Linked DNA regions of Caenorhabditis elegans. The protein of the gene in region 1 purifies or fractionates together with the protein of each later gene. This does not show direct contact. Each region holds a gene or a part of one and is shown in the gene's direction. Other genes may lie near its edges.

Evidence for each region.
Region 2: the proteins of hmg-3 (region 1) and emb-5 purify together in Caenorhabditis elegans (affinity purification with mass spectrometry; 2 studies listed by BioGRID, with this or other methods). This does not show direct contact.
Region 3: the proteins of hmg-3 (region 1) and Y71F9AL.9 purify together in Caenorhabditis elegans (affinity purification with mass spectrometry, with the first as the bait; 2 studies listed by BioGRID). This does not show direct contact.
Region 4: the proteins of hmg-3 (region 1) and T23E7.2 purify together in Caenorhabditis elegans (affinity purification with mass spectrometry, with the first as the bait; 2 studies listed by BioGRID). This does not show direct contact.

Annotation. Positions count from the first base shown.
Region 1 is NC_003279.8:5,815,061-5,820,040, reverse strand, and holds hmg-3 (FACT complex subunit ssrp1-B), read left to right. Parts: upstream 1-1,908; 5' UTR 1,909-1,915; coding exon 1,916-2,152; intron 2,153-2,223; coding exon 2,224-2,861; intron 2,862-2,949; coding exon 2,950-3,892; intron 3,893-4,030; coding exon 4,031-4,282; 3' UTR 4,283-4,432; downstream 4,433-4,980. Other genes in the region: Nuclear hormone receptor family member nhr-2, read left to right, coding at 1-365, 416-937, 1,056-1,169; Retinoblastoma-like protein homolog lin-35, read right to left, coding at 4,712-4,980. UniProt on the Caenorhabditis elegans protein: Component of the FACT complex, a general chromatin factor that acts to reorganize nucleosomes. The FACT complex is involved in multiple processes that require DNA as a template such as mRNA elongation, DNA replication and DNA repair.
Region 2 is NC_003281.10:4,714,779-4,722,292, reverse strand, and holds emb-5 (Suppressor of Ty 6 homolog), read left to right. Parts: upstream 1-1,622; 5' UTR 1,623-1,627; coding exon 1,628-1,758; intron 1,759-1,805; coding exon 1,806-2,058; intron 2,059-2,131; coding exon 2,132-2,473; intron 2,474-2,523; coding exon 2,524-3,110; intron 3,111-3,154; coding exon 3,155-3,674; intron 3,675-3,727; coding exon 3,728-4,081; intron 4,082-4,128; coding exon 4,129-4,428; intron 4,429-4,476; coding exon 4,477-5,370; intron 5,371-5,417; coding exon 5,418-5,591; intron 5,592-5,643; coding exon 5,644-6,463; intron 6,464-6,515; coding exon 6,516-6,706; 3' UTR 6,707-7,000; downstream 7,001-7,514. Other genes in the region: acy-1 (adenylate cyclase), read right to left, coding at 1-81; him-18 (SAP domain-containing protein), read left to right, coding at 7,116-7,174, 7,249-7,304, 7,356-7,476. UniProt on the Caenorhabditis elegans protein: Histone H3-H4 chaperone that plays a role in maintenance of chromatin structure during RNA polymerase II transcription elongation.
Region 3 is NC_003279.8:2,875,392-2,879,009, forward strand, and holds Y71F9AL.9 (CUE domain-containing protein), read left to right. Parts: upstream 1-1,540; 5' UTR 1,541-1,544; coding exon 1,545-1,695; intron 1,696-1,745; coding exon 1,746-1,961; intron 1,962-2,012; coding exon 2,013-2,324; intron 2,325-2,380; coding exon 2,381-2,646; 3' UTR 2,647-3,095; downstream 3,096-3,618. Other genes in the region: rpl-10a (Large ribosomal subunit protein uL1), read right to left, coding at 40-210, 259-580, 754-911; Y71F9AL.8 (Myb_DNA-bind_3 domain-containing protein), read left to right, coding at 3,187-3,251, 3,298-3,393, 3,442-3,558, 3,609-3,618.
Region 4 is NC_003284.9:17,669,170-17,674,039, forward strand, and holds the start of T23E7.2 (Aggrecan core protein), read left to right. Parts: upstream 1-1,859; 5' UTR 1,860-1,872; coding exon 1,873-1,990; intron 1,991-2,036; coding exon 2,037-2,122; intron 2,123-4,221; coding exon 4,222-4,311; exon of another isoform or gene 4,312-4,327; intron 4,328-4,870.

The DNA of each region.
Region 1 (4,980 bases):
CGACTCAAAGTTCTCCAGACAACGGAAATGAAGCCGATGATAAAGAGAACAGTTCTGTTCGTCGTAACACATTCCCAGCGTCATCTGCTTCAACAAAAAAGCCACGTGGTACTCCATATGACCGTACTAACACACCAATGACAGTAGTTCCACAAATGCCACAGTTTGCTCCAGACTTTTCAAACTATAATCTCACAATGAATGCTTGGAGTGAGTTCTTTAAAAAGGATAGATGTATGGTTTGTGGTGATAACTCTACTGGATATCATTATGGAGTACAGAGTTGTGAAGGATGCAAGGGATTTTTCAGAAGAAGTGTTCACAAGAATATCGCATATGTTTGTACCAAAGGAGAAAATTGCACAGTGAGTTTAATTAGACAAGCATTTCAAAAATATGCTATTATATTTTTCAGTTCTCATATGAAAATTGTGCGGCAAATCGTGGAGTACGTACTCGTTGTCAAGCTTGTCGATTTGCCAAATGCCTCGCAGTTGGAATGAATCGTGACAACGTTCGAGTGAACAAAGAAACTGATAAAGATGTTAAACCATCAGTGGCTTCGCCCAATTTTGAGATGACATCACAAGTGAAAGAGCTTACGGCCGCCTTTGTTGCAAACATGCCATGCTCTACTCACTTAACATCGGGAACTCATGCTATTGGAGCAATTAAGAAATTTATTGAATCAGTTCCAGCTTTGAGCTCACTTTTGCCAAAAGATGAAAAAGCACTTGAAATGAGTATTCAAAAAGTGATGAGTGGTATCTTGGCTATTCGTGCGGCTTTCACATTTGATCCAATCACTTTCTATTCCTGTGAGAATCCAGTAAATTTGCTTCGTGGCGGCATTCGTAATACAGTATTCAATGATTGTGAAGTTGCACTTCTCTCTGGAATTCATATACTTCAAATAGTCAATGGAGGTGTCGCTGAGGTAAGTAATTGTTTGGCATAATGCCAAAATTGTCGGAATATTCCCAAATGACACAATTAATCCCTACCATAACACTCAAGAAAGTAAATATTGCGCCAAGAAAGTTAACCTTTTTCAGATTTTTACGAGTTATTGTCAAGGATTACGCCATCAACTGTCTCAAACACATCTACAAGAGATAGGACTCTGCGATCGATTGCTCATGAGATTGGGACCGTATCTCAATCAATAACAAATATATTACTTCTGATAAATTCAGAACCGATTCGGTGTCTGGACACGCTTCCAACCGGTTCTGAATTCTCACAAAACTTTATTCCTGTCTTATGAATCAATATAGATTCAAAATACTTGTTTAAAGTCCCCTTCCCCCGTTACTATCATTTTCTATTCATGTTCTCAAAGTCTGATCATTTCTTACTGATCTCTTCCTCCAGGTGTGAATTTAATTCTCTATCTCACTCTCTCGTTCGGGCTATATACTGTTTCTTTTTGAATTTCCAATTGATGTTGTTTGTTAGGCTGTTACAGTACCAAAAATTATATTATTTGAAGTTTGTTAAAAACTTAATATATTTGGTACTGCTTCTTGGTTGTTGAAAAGATGAAATAAATATTATTTGATAATTTAACTATTTTGTATGCAGGAAAAAATTTGACGTGCCACAACTTTTACCGTTATTTGTCGTAATTTGTCGTAATAGTAATTTGTCAATTTATTTGTCAAAATTAGTCAATTATTAAAAAAATAATAAAATTAATAGAAACGGTCGTCAGATGCGGTGCTTGCGTATACAGTATACTTCGGTGTTCACGTATGATCGACTACCGTAGTTCTTTGTTTTCGGTTCGACGCGCGAAAAAATTAGAGTGCATTTTTCGAGAATTCATTTTTTTCATTCTTTTCCGGACTTTTCTTGTTCGCGGACGTTTTTCGCTTCTTTTCTTTACACGCGTTATTGACTGACAAGTTTCAGAATGACTGAGCTCAAATTCAAGGGAGTTTACGTGGAGGATATAGGCCATTTAACATGCGGAACGCTTACATTGACTGAAAATTCGATTAACTTCATAGGCGATAAGGGTGGAAAATCAGTTTACATCACAGGAACCGACGTCGATAAACTGAAATGGCAAAAGCTTGGCAACAAGCCGGGACTACGCGTTGGTCTTAGTGATGGAGGTGCTCACCGCTTCGGAGGATTCTTGGATGATGTTAGTTTGTTGTTCGTTTTCTTTATTTTTATACGTTTGTAGTCTCATTTTATTCAAATTCGAAATTTCAGGATCTTCAGAAAATCCAATCGTTCACTTCTTCTAACTGGTCTAAATCTATCAATCAATCAAATCTTTTCATCAATGGATGGAACTATGGGCAGGCCGATGTCAAAGGCAAAAATATTGAATTTTCATGGGAAAATGAACCGATTTTCGAAATTCCGTGCACGAATGTGTCAAACGTCATTGCCAACAAAAATGAGGCTATTTTGGAGTTCCATCAGAATGAACAAAGCAAAGTTCAGCTGATGGAGATGAGATTCCATATGCCAGTTGATCTAGAAAATGAGGAGGATACTGATAAAGTAGAAGAATTCAAGAAAGCAGTGCTGGCATATGCTGGATTGGAGGCTGAAACTGAGCAACCAATATGCCTTCTCACTGATATTCTGTGCACAACACCTCGTGGAAGATATGATATTAAAGTTTATCCGACAAGTATTGCACTCCACGGAAAGACGTACGATTACAAGATTCCTGTCAAAACGATCAATCGTCTATTCTTGGTTCCTCATAAAGATGGACGCCAAGTATATTTTGTGTTGTCGTTGAACCCACCCATTCGCCAGGGACAGACACACTACAGTTATCTCATTTTCGAGTTTGGGAAGGATGAAGAAGAAGATTTGGAGTTGTCGTTGACTGAGTGAGTTTATTTCAGAATTTTCTGGGAACAATTCCGTGCCACTCAAATATATTTTATATTGCCGTCCAATAATTTGAGAGTATTTCAGTGAACAACTCGACTATTTCAATGGAAATCTTCAACGTGAAATGACTGGACCAATCTATGAGACAATCTCAATTCTCTTCAAATCAATTTGCAATCTGAAAGTCACCGTTCCTGGACGATTCCTCGGAAGTTCGGGCACTCCTGCCATACAATGTACACATCGTCAGAACCTTGGATTGTTGTACCCAATGGAAAAGGGATTTTTGTTTATTCAAAAGCCGGTCATGTACATTCGCTTTGAAGAGATTAGCTCATGTCATTTCGCACGTTCTGATAGCGGAACTGTAACAAGAACTTTTGATTTTGAGATTGATCTGAAAACTGGATCATCGTTGACTTTCAGTGCAATGGATAAAGAAGAGAACAACAAACTATTCGACTATCTAAACAAGAAAGAGATCAAAATTCGCAATTCTCATCGTATCGATAACAAATCAGCTGGTTATGGAAGCAGCGATGAAGATGATATCGATCCATACAAGTCAACTGTGAAAGCAGAGGGTCGTGAACAAGATGATGACAGCGATGATGAAAGTACTGATGAGGATTATGATTTGGATAAGGATATGAAGAAGCAGAAGAATGACAAAGACTCATCAGAAGGTTCTGGAAGTGAACCTGACGATGAATATGATTCTGGCTCAGAGAAAGATGCTTCAGGAACTGGAGAATCTGATCCAGATGAAGAGAATATTGAACCAAAAAAGAAGGAGAGTAAAGAAAAGAAGAATAAACGCGAGAAGAAAGAGAAGCCGGTAAAGGAGAAAGCTGTGAAGAAAGGAAAGAAAACTAAAGATCCAAATGAGCCGAAACGAGCAACCACTGCATATATCATCTGGTTCAATGCCAATCGTAATTCAATGAAAGAAGATGGGGATACACTCGGAGATGTTGCTAAAAAAGCCGGAGCAAAGTGGAAGTCCATGAGTGCGGATGATAAAAAGGTATTTTTATAGACTTTTCAAATCAAAAACTCTTTTAATTTTAGAAAAAACCATGATTTTCGAATCTAAAAAATTCAATCACTTTTAGAGCCATTAAAAATGTTTTGTTTTATCCCGTTAGTAATTATTTTTATTCAGGAATGGAACGATAAGGCTGCACAGGACAAGGCAAGATACGAAGCGGAAATGAAAGAATACAAGAAGAATGGTGGAGGAGTAGAGAAAGCATCTGGACCATCCACGAAGAAAAGCTCCGATCAATCTCCGGGTAAACAGTTCAAGTCTAAGGAGCATATCAGTGATACGGATGATTCCGATGACGATGAGCCGCTAAAGGCGAAGAAAGACGAATCCGATGCTGCCTCCGAGTCTTCTGGTGAATCGGATTGATTTTCTGACTAAATATTTTATTGTTGCTTTTTATTCGCCTTCCTTCTTACTTTCATAGATCTCTTTCATCCTCTTTCCAATCATTTACCCATTTTATATTGGATTCCCATTAATTTCAATTATAACTGTAAAATGAATTTATCGATGATGGTTAAAAAGAGAGAAAAAATCAGTAACAATAATGGCATGGGGGATTGTGAAAAATGATTACAATATTAATATTTAATACGATATTTGAAGATTCCAATTCAAAAGGGGGATTGTTTTGAATATAACTAGACGTCTATTTTGAAGCAATCAATTAGAAATGGAAAGTATAATTACTTGCCTGAATTTGAAGGAAAAGATAAAAAAATAGACGAGAAAAGAAGTACTAAATGATTAATCAAAAATGCATTAAAAAGTTCAAAGTATTCACAACAATCATTTTTAATCTCCAGACCGTTCCATAGCGATCGTAATTCCAGATTTTTCAAGGTTCGCAATAGCTCTTTCTTGTTTCGACTCTCCGTGTTTCGTTTTTGGAAGCGTTTGAATCGATAATTTATGTGTTAAATAAACTCGAACAGGCATCAATCCAGATTCTGTTGCAACCGGCATTTCCATCAAATCTTCATCTGAAGCACTATCAATTTGACCGATAATATACTTGATACGATCCCGAAACTCGATATTATAATATTTGATTATATCAACTG
Region 2 (7,514 bases), on another chromosome or scaffold:
TGGGGAACTACTGTGTGCACGAACTGATGGTCCACATGAACCACCGAGAGCCGGTGTTCGTTCACCGACATCGTCGTCCATGAATCCAGAAGACAAGAAGAATCTTCAGAATAGAAGACGTTGAAAAATGAAAAGGAAGAAGATGAGGCAAGTAGAGGAGAGCGAGTAGTAGTTGTTCCCCCTCCTTCGCCTCCTACTCCCCCCAACTGCTTACTCTTTTTCTCTCGTTCACTCTCTTCCAATCTCTCACTTACTTTTGAAAGCCTTTTCAGAGAAAAAGAGAGTAAAAGAAAGTGCGCAGAGAGCTTTGGAATGAGAGAGGCGCAGAGTTTGAAACGAAAAGCTGCGCGCTCGACTGGCCCCAGGGTGGGGCGGGTCCAAGAGTGTGGAAGAGAGAGAGAGAGGATGGAGAATAGACATTGAGCCTCAATCTTTCGATTATTGTGCTCATGGATTCGGGGGATCCCATGGGATTTGATAAGTATGTCGGAAACAGCAAATGAATGAATAATTAGCGATGGAAATTAGGACTTCAACTAATGAAAAATGGTCAGCAAGTGAATATCTTGGGGGTTTTTCGGATATGATGATCAGCAGGTTCAGGTTATCAAAGTAATGCAGTTTAAGTGAACCTTCACTGTAGGCACTTACCCCCTAGGCATCTGGTAGGGCGTATATCTAGAATTGAAACACTGATTCAAGCGAAACTTTTTCAACTACCGTACTCGGGAGTACTGTAGTACCTCAATCTTTCTCGCCAAATTTCTCCTGAAATTACAGAACTTATGAATTGATTTTTCCTCGAAAAAATCTACGTATATATTTGAAATCGGGAAATAAGGAAAAAAAACTTTTAAAAAGCTTCTATCATACTCGCTGGTACGGTATTTGATAAAGTTTTTCTTCGTGGTAAGATTTTTGTTGATGAAAGAATGAGTCTGTGAAGAATAAACCTTCAAAATTGAACATGGTAGTTGAATGAAAATTAATCTTTTATGCCTAAATAATTTCACATAGCTATATAGCTATTACATTTTTCGCAACAATTCTGAATACCCCGGTTATCGTATTTCGTCGTCTTGGATGCTTGCTAAATGAACCAATTTGTTTACCTATCACGCAATAAAGATGAATCGAAATCACTTTTCGCAATATCGCTTTAAAATGAAACATATAATTCCTAAAATACGCGAAACTCGGGAAAGCGATATTTTTTAAACGACCGCGTTTTTCTATCTCTACCCGCCTCTTGCAATCCCACACTCTCTCGCCTAGCATCACAATGGGGCGCAGTTGCATAAATCGCTTCGCGTTCAAATTCAGAAAATCGTCTCATTTTTATTTTTGTCCTCGACCCGAATGGCCGGTTTCCTTCTTTCTCCGTTTTCTTTATTGATTAATTTTCGCTCGTTTGGCCTAAAAACCGCGTAAAATCCGTCATTTTTCACCTATCTGGCTAATTTTTTTTGCACAAAATAAGATTTTTCAGTTTTCTTTCACTTTTAAACCTTTTCCGCACTGTGAGCTGTTTGCAATTTTCTTAATTTTGCTCTTTGTGCTTTTCGAAATTTTTGTATTATGAAATTTCGTTCTTCCCAAGTGAAATTAACTGAATTTGTTGCAGGTAATGGATTTTATCGATAATCAAGCCGAAGAATCAGATGCCTCCTCGGGCCATTCTGATGATGAAGAACCACAGTCGAAAAAGATGAAAATGGCAAAGGAAAAATCAAAAAGAAAGAAGAAAATGGTTGCCAGGTAATTATAATTCCGGGGTATTTCTATTTTCATTTGTTCATTTTTAGTTCTGACGAAGATGAAGACGACGATGACGATGAAGAGGAAAACCGTAAAGAAATGCAGGGATTCATTGCAGATGATGACGATGAAGAAGAGGACGCAAAATCGGAGAAGTCAGAAAAATCTCGGCACTCGGGAGAAGATGAGCTCGACGATGAAGATCTTGATTTGATCAATGAGAATTATGATATTCGAGAGACGAAAAAACAAAATCGAGTTCAATTGGGTGATTCCAGTGATGAAGATGAGCCGATACGAGTGAGTAATTTCGATTTTTTTCAATTGCCACTAAAATTCATAATAATAATAATAATCAAATTCGGAATTTCAGAGACCCAACCACGAAGATGATGATTTGCTTTCCGAACGAGGAAGTGACGATGGAGACAGGCGAAAAGATCGTGGTCGTGGAGATCGCGGTGGTTACGGATCAGAGTCTGAAAGAAGTGAGGATGACTTTATTGAGGACGATGGAGATGCGCCACGAAGACATCGGAAACGTCATCGTGGAGACGAAAATCTCCCAGAAGGCGCTGAAGATGACGCCCGTGATGTATTCGGAGTGGAAGACTTCAATTTGGACGAGTTTTACGACGATGATGATGGCGAGGATGGTCTAGAAGACGAAGAGGAGGAAATAATAGAAGATGATGGTGAAGGAGGAGAGATAAAGGTTGGAATTTTTGAGAAAAGCTTTGCATTATTGAAATAGGAATGGTTCAGATACGCAGAAAGAAGGATACTACAAAGAAGTCAACACTTCTCGAATCCATCGAACCAAGTGAAATTGATCGTGGATTCTTGTTACCTGGGGATAAGAAAATCGCGAAAGAAGATTTACCAGAGAGGTTCCAACTCAGAAGAACACCAGTTACAGAAGCGGATGATGATGAACTGGAATCTGAAGCTCTATGGATTATTAAATATGCCTTCGAAGAAGGGACAGTGACAAATCAAGCTGACCTGGATCAAGACGATAAACTTGATTGTATAATGAATCTGGATCCTTCTGTCTATGAAGATAGAAAGAAAGCTGTTATAAAATCCATCAAGAAAGTTCTCCAATTCATTCGAGTTCGTTCTAATTCGTTCGAACCTACGTTTATTGGATTTTATCGTAAAGAAGATATTGACAATCTTCTGACAATGAATAATCTATGGAGAGTATACGATTTTGACGAAAAATGGTGTCATTTGTCAGAGAAGAAAAATAAAATTTACGATTTAATGCGTCGGATGAGAGAGTATCAGGAACTCAGTGACGATTTGACCGCAAAAAGACGACCGATTTCGGATGCAGATTTGATGGAGTAAGTTTTAAAATTTAAAATTTAGAATTTAAATTATTTTTCAGCACAAAATACGCAGAAACTCTTGAACAGCTTACCGACATACATGCAAATTTCCAATTGTTGTACGGTGCTCTTCTCGACGATATGATTAGATGGGAAAAAGGACGTTTAACCGGTGAAGAAGAGGAACAAGAGTATCGAGTCAAGTTCAAGTCAAGCATTCGTAATGATAAGTATCAAATGTGTGTGGAAAACGGAATCGGAGAGCTTGCTGGACGGTTTGGATTGACTGCAAAACAGTTTTCTGAAAATTTGAACTGGAAAAAACACGACATTGAGCAAGATCCGATGTTACCATTGGAAGCAGCAGAAGAGTATGTTTGTCCTGCGTTCAGTGACAGTGATATGGTTCTGAATGGTGCGAAATTCATGCTTGCCAAGGAGATCAGTCGACAACCACAAGTCAGGCATAGTGTTCGGCAAGAATTCCGCCAGTCTGCACATTTTTGGATCAAGCCAACGAAGAAAGGACGTGATACAATTGATCAAACTCATCCCCTCTATGACAAACGGTATATCAAGGTGAGAATTATTTGAAATAAATGTCTAGGATTTTAATAAATATATATTTTTAGAGTAAACCAGTTCGAAGTCTCACCGCTGAAGAGTTCCTCTTCTATCACAAAGCCAAAGAGGATGGTCTTGTTGATGTGCTCATCATGTATGAATCTGAAGAAGATCAGGATTCAAATAACTACCTCGTTAACAAGTATCTAAGTGATTCCATTTTCCAAAAAGACGAATACACGGAAAATGTTGAACAATGGAATTCAGTGAGAGATGAGTGTGTGAATATGGCTATAACTGAAATGCTTGTACCCTACATGAGGGATGAGTTGTATAATACGATTCTTGAAGAAGCAAAGACTGCAGTAGCAAAGAAATGTAGAAAGGAGTTTGCATCTCGAATTTCTAGATCAGGATATCTGGTATTAATTTGATTTAATAACTATGTAATTGTTTTGTTTTATTTCAGCCGGATTTCGATAATAACGATGACGATGATGATGGTATGGATCAACATGGAGCTCGTCGAATCATGGCAGTGTGCTATCCAACAGAGCGAGACGAAGCTTCATTTGGTGTAATGGTTGATGAAAATGGTGCAATTGTTGATTATCTTCGAATGGTTCATTTCACGAAACGAACGTTTGGCGGTGGAAACAATGGACTAAGGAAGGCCGAGTCAATGGATTTGTTTAAGAAGTTTGTACAGAGACGAAAACCTCATGCTATTGGATTGAATATTGAGGATATGGAGTGTACTCGATTGAAGGTTTGCACTAGTTTTGAACATTTGATACTTAAAAACTGCAATTTTCAGAGAGACCTCGAGGAAGCTGTGGCAGATCTTTTCTCGCAGAACTTGATCTACAAACCAATTCCAGTATTTTTGATGGACAACGAAGCCGCAAAAGTCTACATGAGATCGAATGTTTCGTTGGCGGAGAATCCAGATCATCCACCGACGCTCCGACAAGCTTTATCCCTAGCTCGTCTTCTTTTGGATCCCATCCCAGAGTATGCTCATTTGTGGAATATTGATGAAGATATTTTCTGTCTCTCTCTGCATCCGCTTCAACGGGATATCGATCAAGAGCAATTGGCTTTGGTTCTCAGTCATGAATTGGTGAACAAGGTCAACGAAGAAGGTGTTGATATCAATAAATGTGCAGAATTCCCTCACTACACTAACATGCTCCAGTTCACATGCGGATTGGGTCCACGAAAAGCCACTGATCTTCTGAAAAGCATAAAAGCTAACGATAATTTGATAGAGAGTAGATCGAAACTTGTGGTTGGATGCAAACTGGGACCAAAAGTATTTATGAACTGTGCTGGATTCATCAAAATTGACACTATCAAGGTATCGGAGAAGACTGACGCTTATGTTGAAGTTCTTGACGGTTCGAGAGTACATCCAGAGACCTATGAATGGGCTAGAAAGATGGCTGTGGATGCGTTGGAGGTTGATGATTCTGCTGATCCAACTGCGGCTCTTCAAGAAATCATGGAATCTCCTGATCGTTTGAGAGATCTCGATTTGGACGCGTTTGCCGATGAATTGAGTCGACAAGGATTCGGAGAGAAAAAGTCGACGTTGTATGACATCTCAAGCGAGTTGAGTGCGAGATATAAAGATCTTCGGCAACCATTCCAAGAACCTACCGGAGAGCTTTTGTATGATCTTTTGGCTCGTTCAGGAAAAGAAATTAGAGTATGTTACTTGTAATAATTCTGTCGATTTTATTTTTATTTTTGCAGGAAGGAGCTAAAGTGTTGGGAACAGTTCAATCTGTGCAGTACCGTAAAGTTGACAAAGATGCAGCAGACAGCATGTTACCTGATGTTGGAGAAGATGGTCTTTTCACTTGTCCATGTTGTAAATCGTTCACATCTTCGGCTCCTGGTGGAATTCAAGAACATATGCTCGGTGACGTAAGTTTTTCTCAACTAATACTATTCGTTAACCAATGTTAAATTATTTCAGTCTCGTCAAGGTGGATGTCCTGGAACACCAGTCGGAATTCGAGTCAGATTTGACAATGGAATGACTGGATTCTGTCCGAACAAGAACATCTCATCAAGTCACGTAGACAATCCATTAACCCGAGTCAAGATAAATCAGCCATATTACTTCAAAGTTCTCAAGTTGGACAAGGAGAGATTCTCACTATTCCTAAGTTGTAAGAGTTCGGATCTGAAAGAAGATGATTTATCTCAACGTGATCAGTACTGGGATGAGCATCAATACCAAGCTGATTTGGAACTGATGAAGAGTGAATCGAAAAAGAAGACAGAAGCAAATACACGTGTGAAGCGAGTAATTGCGCATCCAAATTTCCATAATGTATCCTACGAAGCTGCTACGAAAATGTTGGATGAAATGGATTGGTCTGAGTGTATTATTCGTCCATCGGCTAATAAAGATTCTGGTCTTTCTGTGACATGGAAGATTTGTGACCGCGTCTATCACAATTTCTTTGTCAAAGAATCCGCAAAGGATCAAGTTTTCTCCATTGGTCGGCAACTCTCAGTCGGCGGAGAAGATTTCGAGGATCTTGATGAGTTGATTGCTCGATTCGTTCAACCGATGATACAGATCTCTCACGAGATAACAACTCACAAGTACTTCTTCCCAAATGGAACATGCGAAGAAACAGAAGCAGTCGAGCAATTTGTACGAGAGAAGAAACGAGAGCTGGGACGATCTCCGTACGTATTCAGTGCATCCTACAGACAGCCATGCCAATTCTGTATTTCTTATATGTTCGATAATACAGAACGGATTCGACATGAATATTTCAAAAGTGAGTTTCGAAAAGAGATACGAACAAAGTTTTCAACTATTTTTGTTTACAGTTGTCCCACATGGAGTCCGATTCCGACATCAAAACTTTGATACGCTAGATCGAATGATGGCTTGGTTCAAACGCCATTTCCACGAGCCTCCCATCGAGTTAAGGCGATCTGCGATCCCGGCTCCACAGTATCGAGTTGGTGCTCCTCCAGCAGCTCCATACTATCCTCCTCAATTCGTCGGCTATCACTGAAAACCCTGATCTTATTCTCTTTATTACCCACACCTTATCAGACACATTCAATCCTGTTTCCTTTGTTCCAGTCTATCAACGATGATCTAATTTTAATTTATAGAATACAACATCCATCTGTCTTAATCCCACATAATTTGTTTTGATTTCGGTAATCCGTTCATCCTCGATTTTTACTTTTCAAACATTTTTATATATCTATCAAAATATTTATTCAAGCAGTCATACTGTTCATGAGCTCTTTCTGTATTCAAGTACCATTTTTGTTGTTTACTCAATAAATTTCGTAATCAGAATCACTGCTAAATCATCACGAAAAAACGTAGAATGCGTTGATCACAATTGATATTGGAATAAGAATTGCAAATTCAGTTTTAGAAGAAAAAAAAGTATTCTAGATTCTACTCATATGAATGATTCATCACTAAAAAAGGCACTGTCCCAAAACTCGATCTCATCCGCGCCAAGGTAGTAAGGTTTTTGTTTCTGTCGTATCTATTTAACCTAAACGTAAATTAAAAAATATCTGTCTTTTTTTCTAGGCGTCCTCAAAAACTTGGAAGTGTGCAGAGTATTGTAAGAAATGAATCTGACAAAAGTAAGTTTCAAATCAAATTTCCCAATTAAATCAATTAATTTACTTTTTGAGATGTTCCTTCTCCTTTCGAAGAGATCACACTGAGCGACGATGATGAAGAAGCACCGGCTAAGAAACCTGTAAAATGTGCGACGTGTGCACGAGATATGACTCTTTGGATGAATTCCAGAAGGTTTGAAATATTATTTGTGTTTCTTCTCACTGTTCAAA
Region 3 (3,618 bases), 2.9 Mb from region 1:
TAGAATCAAATCAACAATGTTTATTGAATAACAAAGTAATTAATAAACTCTTTGTGGCTTTCCCATGGTGGACTTGATGTTCAACGATCTCACGTTCTGCCAGTTCTTCTTCAAGAGCGAGACGAGGAAGTTGATGGAGAGGGAGATGTTGGAGACAAGCTCCTCCTGGGTGAGTCCAACGTGACCGACGGCGACGGAGAGGCAGAGAACCTGAAATGATACAATTATTAACAGGGCAATAAGAATGATAATGTTTACCTTCTTCATCTGGAACTTGACGGTGGCGCGGATCTCGTCACTCTTGCTTTGGAGAGATTCTCCGTGGGTAACGACGGAAGGGAATTTTCCGGCCTTGTTGAGTCCTGGACCGAGGATACGTGGGATCTGCTTGATCAAGGATTCGGAAGCGATGAAAGCATCGTAGCTCTTGGCGAGCTTCTTGATGAGCTTCTTCTGCTTGTTAAGCTTCTTCAAGTCATCGGCGCTCATCGATGGAATGTCTCCGGCGGCAGCCTCGTCAAGATGGTGCTGGTCTCCGAAGACGCACACCTTCATGTTTGGGCGTGGAATGTGCTTCAGTCTGGAAAATAGAACAATAGAAATAAATCCAAATGACACGATTGGTTACATTATACCAGCTCATATCATTATTTCAAAGCGGCAATAATTGCCTCCCCAAAAATTTAAGACCCTGGGTGGGGGTCCGTTAGGCTTTGAAAGTCCCAACTCCCTGTTTTCACAGGTCGTAGCTACCTGATGGATCCGCTGAAACGCTTGTCCTTCTGTGGGTCGTAGTTCTTGAGACCGATCTGGAGCTCGATAGTCTCACGGAACTTGCGTGGCTTTTCCGAGGATCCCTTAAGGACCTCAGCGATAGCCTCATTAAGAGACTCGCGGGAAACCTTCGACATTTTACCCTGAAATAGAAATAAATTAAGAATTCTATATAGAGGGCAGCAAGTGGATAACGTTCAATAACGAAAAAATAGGCTTTTAAAACCTTGAAAGAAAGTAAAAATCACTCAAAAGGAGAAAATATATCCAAAAATCTACAGAAAAACCACAGAACGAAGAGAAAAGAACTGTGGAGATAAAATTTTAGGCCAAGCAGTGCACACGCAGCAACGAGTGTTACCGTACTTGCTTTCGCGGCGGGTACACACCACTGCAAAACTACATGCGTCTTCCTCGTGGCACGTCTTCCTTCCCTTTTAGGCCTTTTCCTTCGAGATTCTCATTTCTTTTTCCACTTGTTATCATTCTCATGATCCTGTCAATCAGTACTCGTATAAATTGATAAAATATCCATTTGCCCTGTTCCCAGTACGCTCCCCATTATGTAGGTTATCGCTCTCCGAAACGCGCGTCTCAGTGCCACCCTGGCCGCTACGCGACCGCAACGCGTGCCAACCAGCCGAGGAGATTGGTGTTTTACGTCGCTTACCCAAAGTTTTACCGAACCTTCTCATAATCTGTTTCTTATGTATCTTTCTTGACATTTCGATGTGTCCTTTCTCGTTTCTTTACTTCAAATTTCCAGAAAAATGGCACCAAAGGAAAGCGAGAAGAAAATCATGCAGGAGAAAATCGCCAAAGTTCGTGAAGTCGTTGATAGTGTAACCAATAATGACATCATTATGGTTCTTCACTCATTCGATCTTGACGTTGGCAAGACAATTTCTGCTTTCTTGGAAGGTAAATCATTTTAATTTGATTTTTTTTTAGAATTTATTTTTAATTTTCAGATGGAGCCTCTAGCATTCTTGGAGGATGGACCACATCAGATGGAGTCAGTGTAACCGCAGCTAAAAAGAAGAAGAACAAGAGCAAGAAGACTGAAACAGCTGCCCCGGAAACGACGCAAAGTGCTCCAGCGCCTGCTAAAGCGGCTCCAGCTCCAACTGTAGCCGCCCCAGCCTCTTCTTCGGTAACTAAATCAGCTGCTGCACCTAAACCAGTTGGTACGTATCTTTTTCTTCTTTCTTTTCGTCTGTAATAATAATTCCTTTCAGTCAGTGCACCAGCTCCAGCTGATCCGTTGTCGACAGCTTTCAAGGCTATCCGACTCGCATTGAACGACCGCGAGAAGGAGTTGAAGCAGTCAAACGCTTCACAATTTGATACCTCTACAATTCTCAAAGCAATTGCTGCTCTTGGAGGATCTTCAAAGCCGGTTGCCAACGGAAAGCCAGCAGCAGCTCCAACGAAGCAGGCGGTTTCTCCACCTCCAGCCGCTGGGCCAATCAAGCACGCTACTAGTCAGTCAAGCATCACTTCATCCGTCGGAGCAGATTCAGGTGTTAACCTCAGCCCAACACACAAAGGTATGCGTAAAATGTCTCTAGAATAGAATTTTAATTAAAAATTCTTTTATTTTCAGAAGATAAGAAAGCCGCATCAAAGACAGTCACCAACACGGCTGGCTTCCAACTCACTTCATCGGGACTCAGCGCCGATCAGTTGGCTGATCTTCAGAAGACACTCATGCTCACAATGGCATCTCGTGGCGTCGACGCTTCCCTGATCACCTCTTCGGAAAACGTTGCACGCAGACCGAAAAATAACAACAACAACAATAAGTCAGGCGAGGGCAAGAAAGGCAACAAGGGAGCCCAGAAGGATCAGCCAAAGCTGTCCATTTTGTAAACCCCTTCTTCATTCCTTCAAAAATCCCCCCTTCCACCTCATACCATTTCTTGATCGAGCAGCTCACTGTGGTTCCTTGGTTCGAAGATGGTACTCCGGCAAAGTGCATCTTTATTTTTACTGTGATTTGATTTGATAATTATAGTATTGAAAGTGAATGACCCTATTCATTATGCTTGTAATTATAATCCATTATAACTTATTCCGTTTCTTTCCTTTCCCCCCTTGGTTTCGCTTAATTTTCCTGTTCTTCCCTTCATCCCCAACATTTTTCATTTTTTTATCCTGCACCCCCCTTAAATTTATACATACACACACATATATATATATCACACAAGAGGCCTTATTTGTTTTATGCGGGAGACATCAGAACTTTTTGTTTTTATTTCCTTTCTACGTCTTTTCTCTTTTCTTCTTCTTTAGTAATAAAACCACTATGGGAGTGTAAAGGTGTTTTTTTTCTTCATAAATTAAATAGTTTCTTTTAAAAATTTATTTTTTTTTGTTAGCACCCCAGATAGGAGGCTCTTAATTTTTCAGATGGGAAACCAACGACATCATTATAACGATTACGAAGATGTGAGAATGCTCAAATGGGTTGCCAGGCAATATAGAATGCTTAAATGATATTTCAAGAATCACCTCTTTCAGAAATGACAAGAGCCTTGGACCGTTTGGAATAATCACGTGGCAACTGTACGTTGAAGCCTACAATTGTCCGTATTCAGTGCAATCACTGTGTGGACGGTGCGAATTTTTAGAAAAAATCGATTAAAAATATGGAATTAATTACAGAATGCGACGTCAAATTGTCCCGAATATCGATTATTACTCTCGACATTTGAAATCTTCGGATTTAATTTCACTTGAGAGACGTTTTGGGTCAAGACTCGGTGCTGAGACTCGAAAATAGTAATTATTAATTTCAGAAAACATGAAATAATTAAAAAAAATGTTTTTAGCATTCGAAAT
Region 4 (4,870 bases), on another chromosome or scaffold:
AATTATCTAATGATAGTTTGAAGCATCTGACATAGAAACAACTTGAAATCTTTCCCCACTCTTTTAAAACTGATTCGGCTCACGTTTCCCCTCTCTCTTTTTTCAAGCCAACTCTGAAACCTGCTAAAACTCGCGCTTAAGCTCATAAGCGTTAAGTATGTATGTATTACCACTATTACACACCTTTTCGCATTCTTCTCACACCACCACACTCAGATATGTGTTGTAATCATCATAATTTTAATAGCCATGGCAATTGGCAGGCTTTGGAGGTGGGCGGGTGCTTCCTGTTTTTTCTGTTTTCTTGTTCGGAGAAGATTTCATTTTTCATTAGCAAAACTTTTTGTTTCGTGAATTGTAGATACTATAAAGTCATGTACCAATTTTTCAAAATTCAACTTATGAGAAATTTGCTACAATTTGTCAATCTACAAGTAAATATAAAAATTAGCCATTTTCATTGGAGCAATTAAAAACATAAAACTTTACTGATTTGAATTAATAAAATATATTCGATAAGAATGTACCGAAATTATACTGTAACAAGGAAAAAAAACCTACCCGAGCAATTTATATTTGCTGTGAAAATTTTAATATAATAGGAACCCACAAAAACTAAGCAGAGAAATTAAACTCCTACCTCCGAATTTTCTATTTAAAAAATTGCAGTCTTTTTTCCCGAGCACTCAAAAAACTCTAAACGATGTGTTGCAGTTTTTAAAATAAATTTCAGAATGTTTTTTCAAAGTGTCAAAATATTCTGAAAGTTACAGAAAATTTTAACGAAAATCTGAAATTTTTAGGTTAATTTTCATTTTTCAGCGCTAAAAAACTTTAAACTGAAAATTTGTCTAGTGTATTATTTTTTTTCAAATTGTTGTAAAAACAAGGTTAAGCTCAAATGTTTTGCAGTAGAAGCGTAGTTAACACAAATATATACGTAGAAAATGTTTTCCTGGAAACTTTGATCTGCATTGAAAAACAAATATTTTTCACTGATATGGAGGTTTTCGTTTTTTCAAACTTGAATTTTCGAAATGCGGACCAAATTCTTAAACTCAAACCAATAAATGTGGGATTTCAAAGCTATATTTTGGATTTCTAGCCGGATCATACTTAACAACCCATGTCACACAAACAATTACCTCAGCTAGTTAGTTAGTGTTGACGACTGAACTTTGCCCATTCTTCAATTTTTAACCCACCCAAATCCACCTCTCTAAATCACAATCAACAAGGATTTGTGCCCCCTCCTCCCTCTCTCCCCTACTGCTTTTCACCCGATGTCGTCTCTCATTTAAAAACAAGTGGCATCAGTGACTTTTTGTTCTACGAGATCCTTGATAGCTCCTGGTTTCCAAGCTCTTCTTCTTCTTCTTCTTCACCGGCAAACACACATACACAGATAGAAAGAGAGAAGTTGTTGTAGGGGTGGTTTGGCGGGGGATCTCCAACAATCCTCCCACTCATTTTCGCATCCTTCCGCCTCTTTGCTGCTTCCCATGCTTCTTTCCTCTCGGTCTGAGGTCACATTGACTGATGGATCTGTTCTGTGAGAGGAGAGAAAGAGCCATTTTTCGGCACAAAATCACCAAAAATCGGGAGGGGTCCCGCCCATCCACGGGTAGGACGAAAACAAAACAAAACAAAACACGACGATGGAGGGCAAATCGCCATTGGTTTTGAACATGCCAACTGCACTTTTACTTCATTTCTAATCTTTTATCTTTTACGGTGTACCTATACATATATCTGTCTTCGATATTTAATTTCATACATTACAATCGTATGCCATTTTTTTTGTCTCTCCCACTTGAAAAGAATATCTTACTGCTTTTTATATCTTATTGCATTTTTAGGGTCGTCGTCGAAATGTCTGAGGTGGATGCTCAAGAAGAGTTTCACGACGCTCCAGAGGAGGCAGTGATTGAGATCCAGAAGGATTTTGTCGCTGAGATTGAGCAGGACAACAGCAATGCTCAACTTGTTGGTGAGTTGAGCGGTCGGTTACTGTAATGCAAAATGTCGAGCTTCAGAAGAGGGTGATGATCAACTTGTAACTGCCGAAGCTGACGACGAGAAGAGCGCTCAACAGGTTGATGAAGACCGCACCGAGGATCAGGTACTTTTTAGAATTTTGTTTTTATTTACGCATCATCTCGGCCTTTCTTGAAAGTTCTATCTTGCCTGTGGGCTAGAAATGAGGTCCGCGTGCAATACTTGATGTACCAGCTAAACTATTTAACTTTCAACATAATGTTTTCGTTAAAATGTTTGCTCGGAATATGATACAAAAAGTGTATGCTATCAAAAATGATATTATACAAGTAGAGCAACGTGTAAGTTATTTTTCTTAAATGATTCACATACATGATTGGTGTAACCATCATGTTTTTCGAGGCTCTTACAGATTTAATCAGCAAATTGTTTGTTAAACTTGATGTAGTTGCTTATCAAACTTTTAAACTTGATGTGAAATAATTTTTGGATTTTTCGAATTATGTGAATAATTGAGAAAAAATTGTATTCATGTTTCAAATGCGTTTAATAATGACATATTTGTAAAACTGTAAAACAATGTACACTTTTTCAGTATATAGAATGTTAAGAGGTTAAGACCTTTGTATATGTATATCTTGCAATTTCCAAAAATCACATCCATTTAAATTCCGAGAGACACCCAAAAAACGTAACAATTAAAGTGGTATTCTTAAATATTTGTTCGATTTTTTCTTACTAATTCACAAAAAAAAGAAATTAAGTTGCAAATTATTTTTTGTTAAAATAAACTTCTTTTTTTTTGAATTTTCTCATCTAATTTGAGTTTCAATATTCAGGACTTTTTGATGGCACTGGAGCTATGTATAAAATAATAGAATAAATGCGGCAATTTTCATTGAAAGATTGGAAATCTGTTTTCAGATATTTTTTCAGGACAACTTTCAATTTTTTATTTTTTATTTTTCACAACGTAGATCTAGTTTCTACTCAGCTTTTCCAAAACGTTTTAACTAAGGAAAAACGTGTTGAATAATTTTTTTCCAAAACTATATACCACAAAATTGTAGAACGATTACATAAGAAAACAAAAAACATCAAAAAAATTATTACTGTAATTAAAAAAATGCAAATATCAAAACCTAAAAGATAGTGAACAAACAACACAGTTTTTGTTGGTTTGTGTTCCAGTTTTTTCCTCAGTTATTTTTTTTCTGACTTGTTGCTTTTTGTATGCTTATCGCTCTTTTCATATCATCCGTTTCTCACAAACTATCATGTAGACCTAACCTATGCCGTAAACAAGTTTTTTTGTTCTGTGCCACAGCAACCATCACTCGTCAGAGTGATATCGTGAAATAAGACAAGAGATTGCTCGATGCGTAGGTGTCCCTTTTTGCTTCTTTCTCGCAAAATCTTTTTGCGTCGAGACGAGCTTGCGAGACCAAACCTTATTTTTTTGGCTACCTAGATCCTAGATCCCCACCTTTTCTCTACGCGTTTGCAAAACGCAAACAACCAGTCATTCAACACCTTCCCAGCATTAACCGATGGTTTGATTTTATTTGCTAACTTAATTATGTTCATTTTTAACTGGTACTTAAACAGTTTTTGAATTTGTTCTTGAAAATTGTCACTTACTTTTTCTACCGGTATATATATATATTGTGAGAAACAACCATATTACTACTGTTAATTTTATTCATTCATTTTAAAGAAACCAGAAAATTATCAAATACATAACCATGTAAATTTCTTTTAAACTCACAACCTGCTGTGAAATGTGAGCAAAAAGTGTAAATATTGAAAAAAAAATAAAACTACTATTTGAAAACTGTTAATTTGAACAATAGTTTTGAACGTGTTCCTGGTGCACTTAAATTATTATCAGATCCGCTTATCTCATATTATTTTGTTATATGAGTATATAACCAAAATTTGTTCTGTTAAAAGGGCCTCCTGAAAAAGTACTTATTTAATGCATGAATATTTTCTGGCTTTTCTCTCCACTCGTATGTATTGTTTTAATAGACATAACTTTCGAAGAACCAGATGGAGCTAGCCAGAGATTCTCAGTTGAGTTGGCTCAACGAGAGCCAGATCAAACAAATCACCATCTGAGTTGTTAGTGTGTCGCCCACAAGGTGTTCGCATCACTTTTGTTCCACTTCAAGTGCAACTTTTCCTCTCCCACTAGATCATTGTTATTTTCACGTTTTGCAGGTCCCCGATATCACTGGAACGGAGTACGTGGACCCAATGACGACTAGCATGGATGGAATTGAGGATCTTCCAGCAAATGATGAAGCTCAGGTAAGACAACTTTCGATCTGCAAATTTAAAACCTAATACATATATGTAGTTTTAGAAAAAGTAATATCGACACTTACAGTTAATTTTTTTCTAAAATGAAAATAACAGTTTATGCATTCAACTTAACGTAACTGAAAAAATATAATCAGAACTTATTCGAATTTTGTCGAGACACGCGTAATTGACAATTCAAAGACAAATTAATGCTGAATAGCTCTTCTTTCTCCCATATTTAGATTTTTCATCACAATTGTAAAACTCTCAAAATAGTAGGAAAAAACTCATGCATTTTTTTCCAGTCAAACAATTTTTGATAAGTTCAACATTCAAATTTAATACTATATGTGAATGTATCAATTTGAAAATACTATTTAATTGTTTAATTCCGGCAAAGTGCGCGGTATTTGAGCTTTTTTCAAAATTGTGAACGAAAAATGAATTCCACTTTTGCATTCACCAGATATTTTCTATGAATCTTTACGATAATTGTTGTTCTAAACAGTTAGCCTGAAATACCAAAATTGGTCACGAATTATAGTTAACAAAATGTTATAAAACA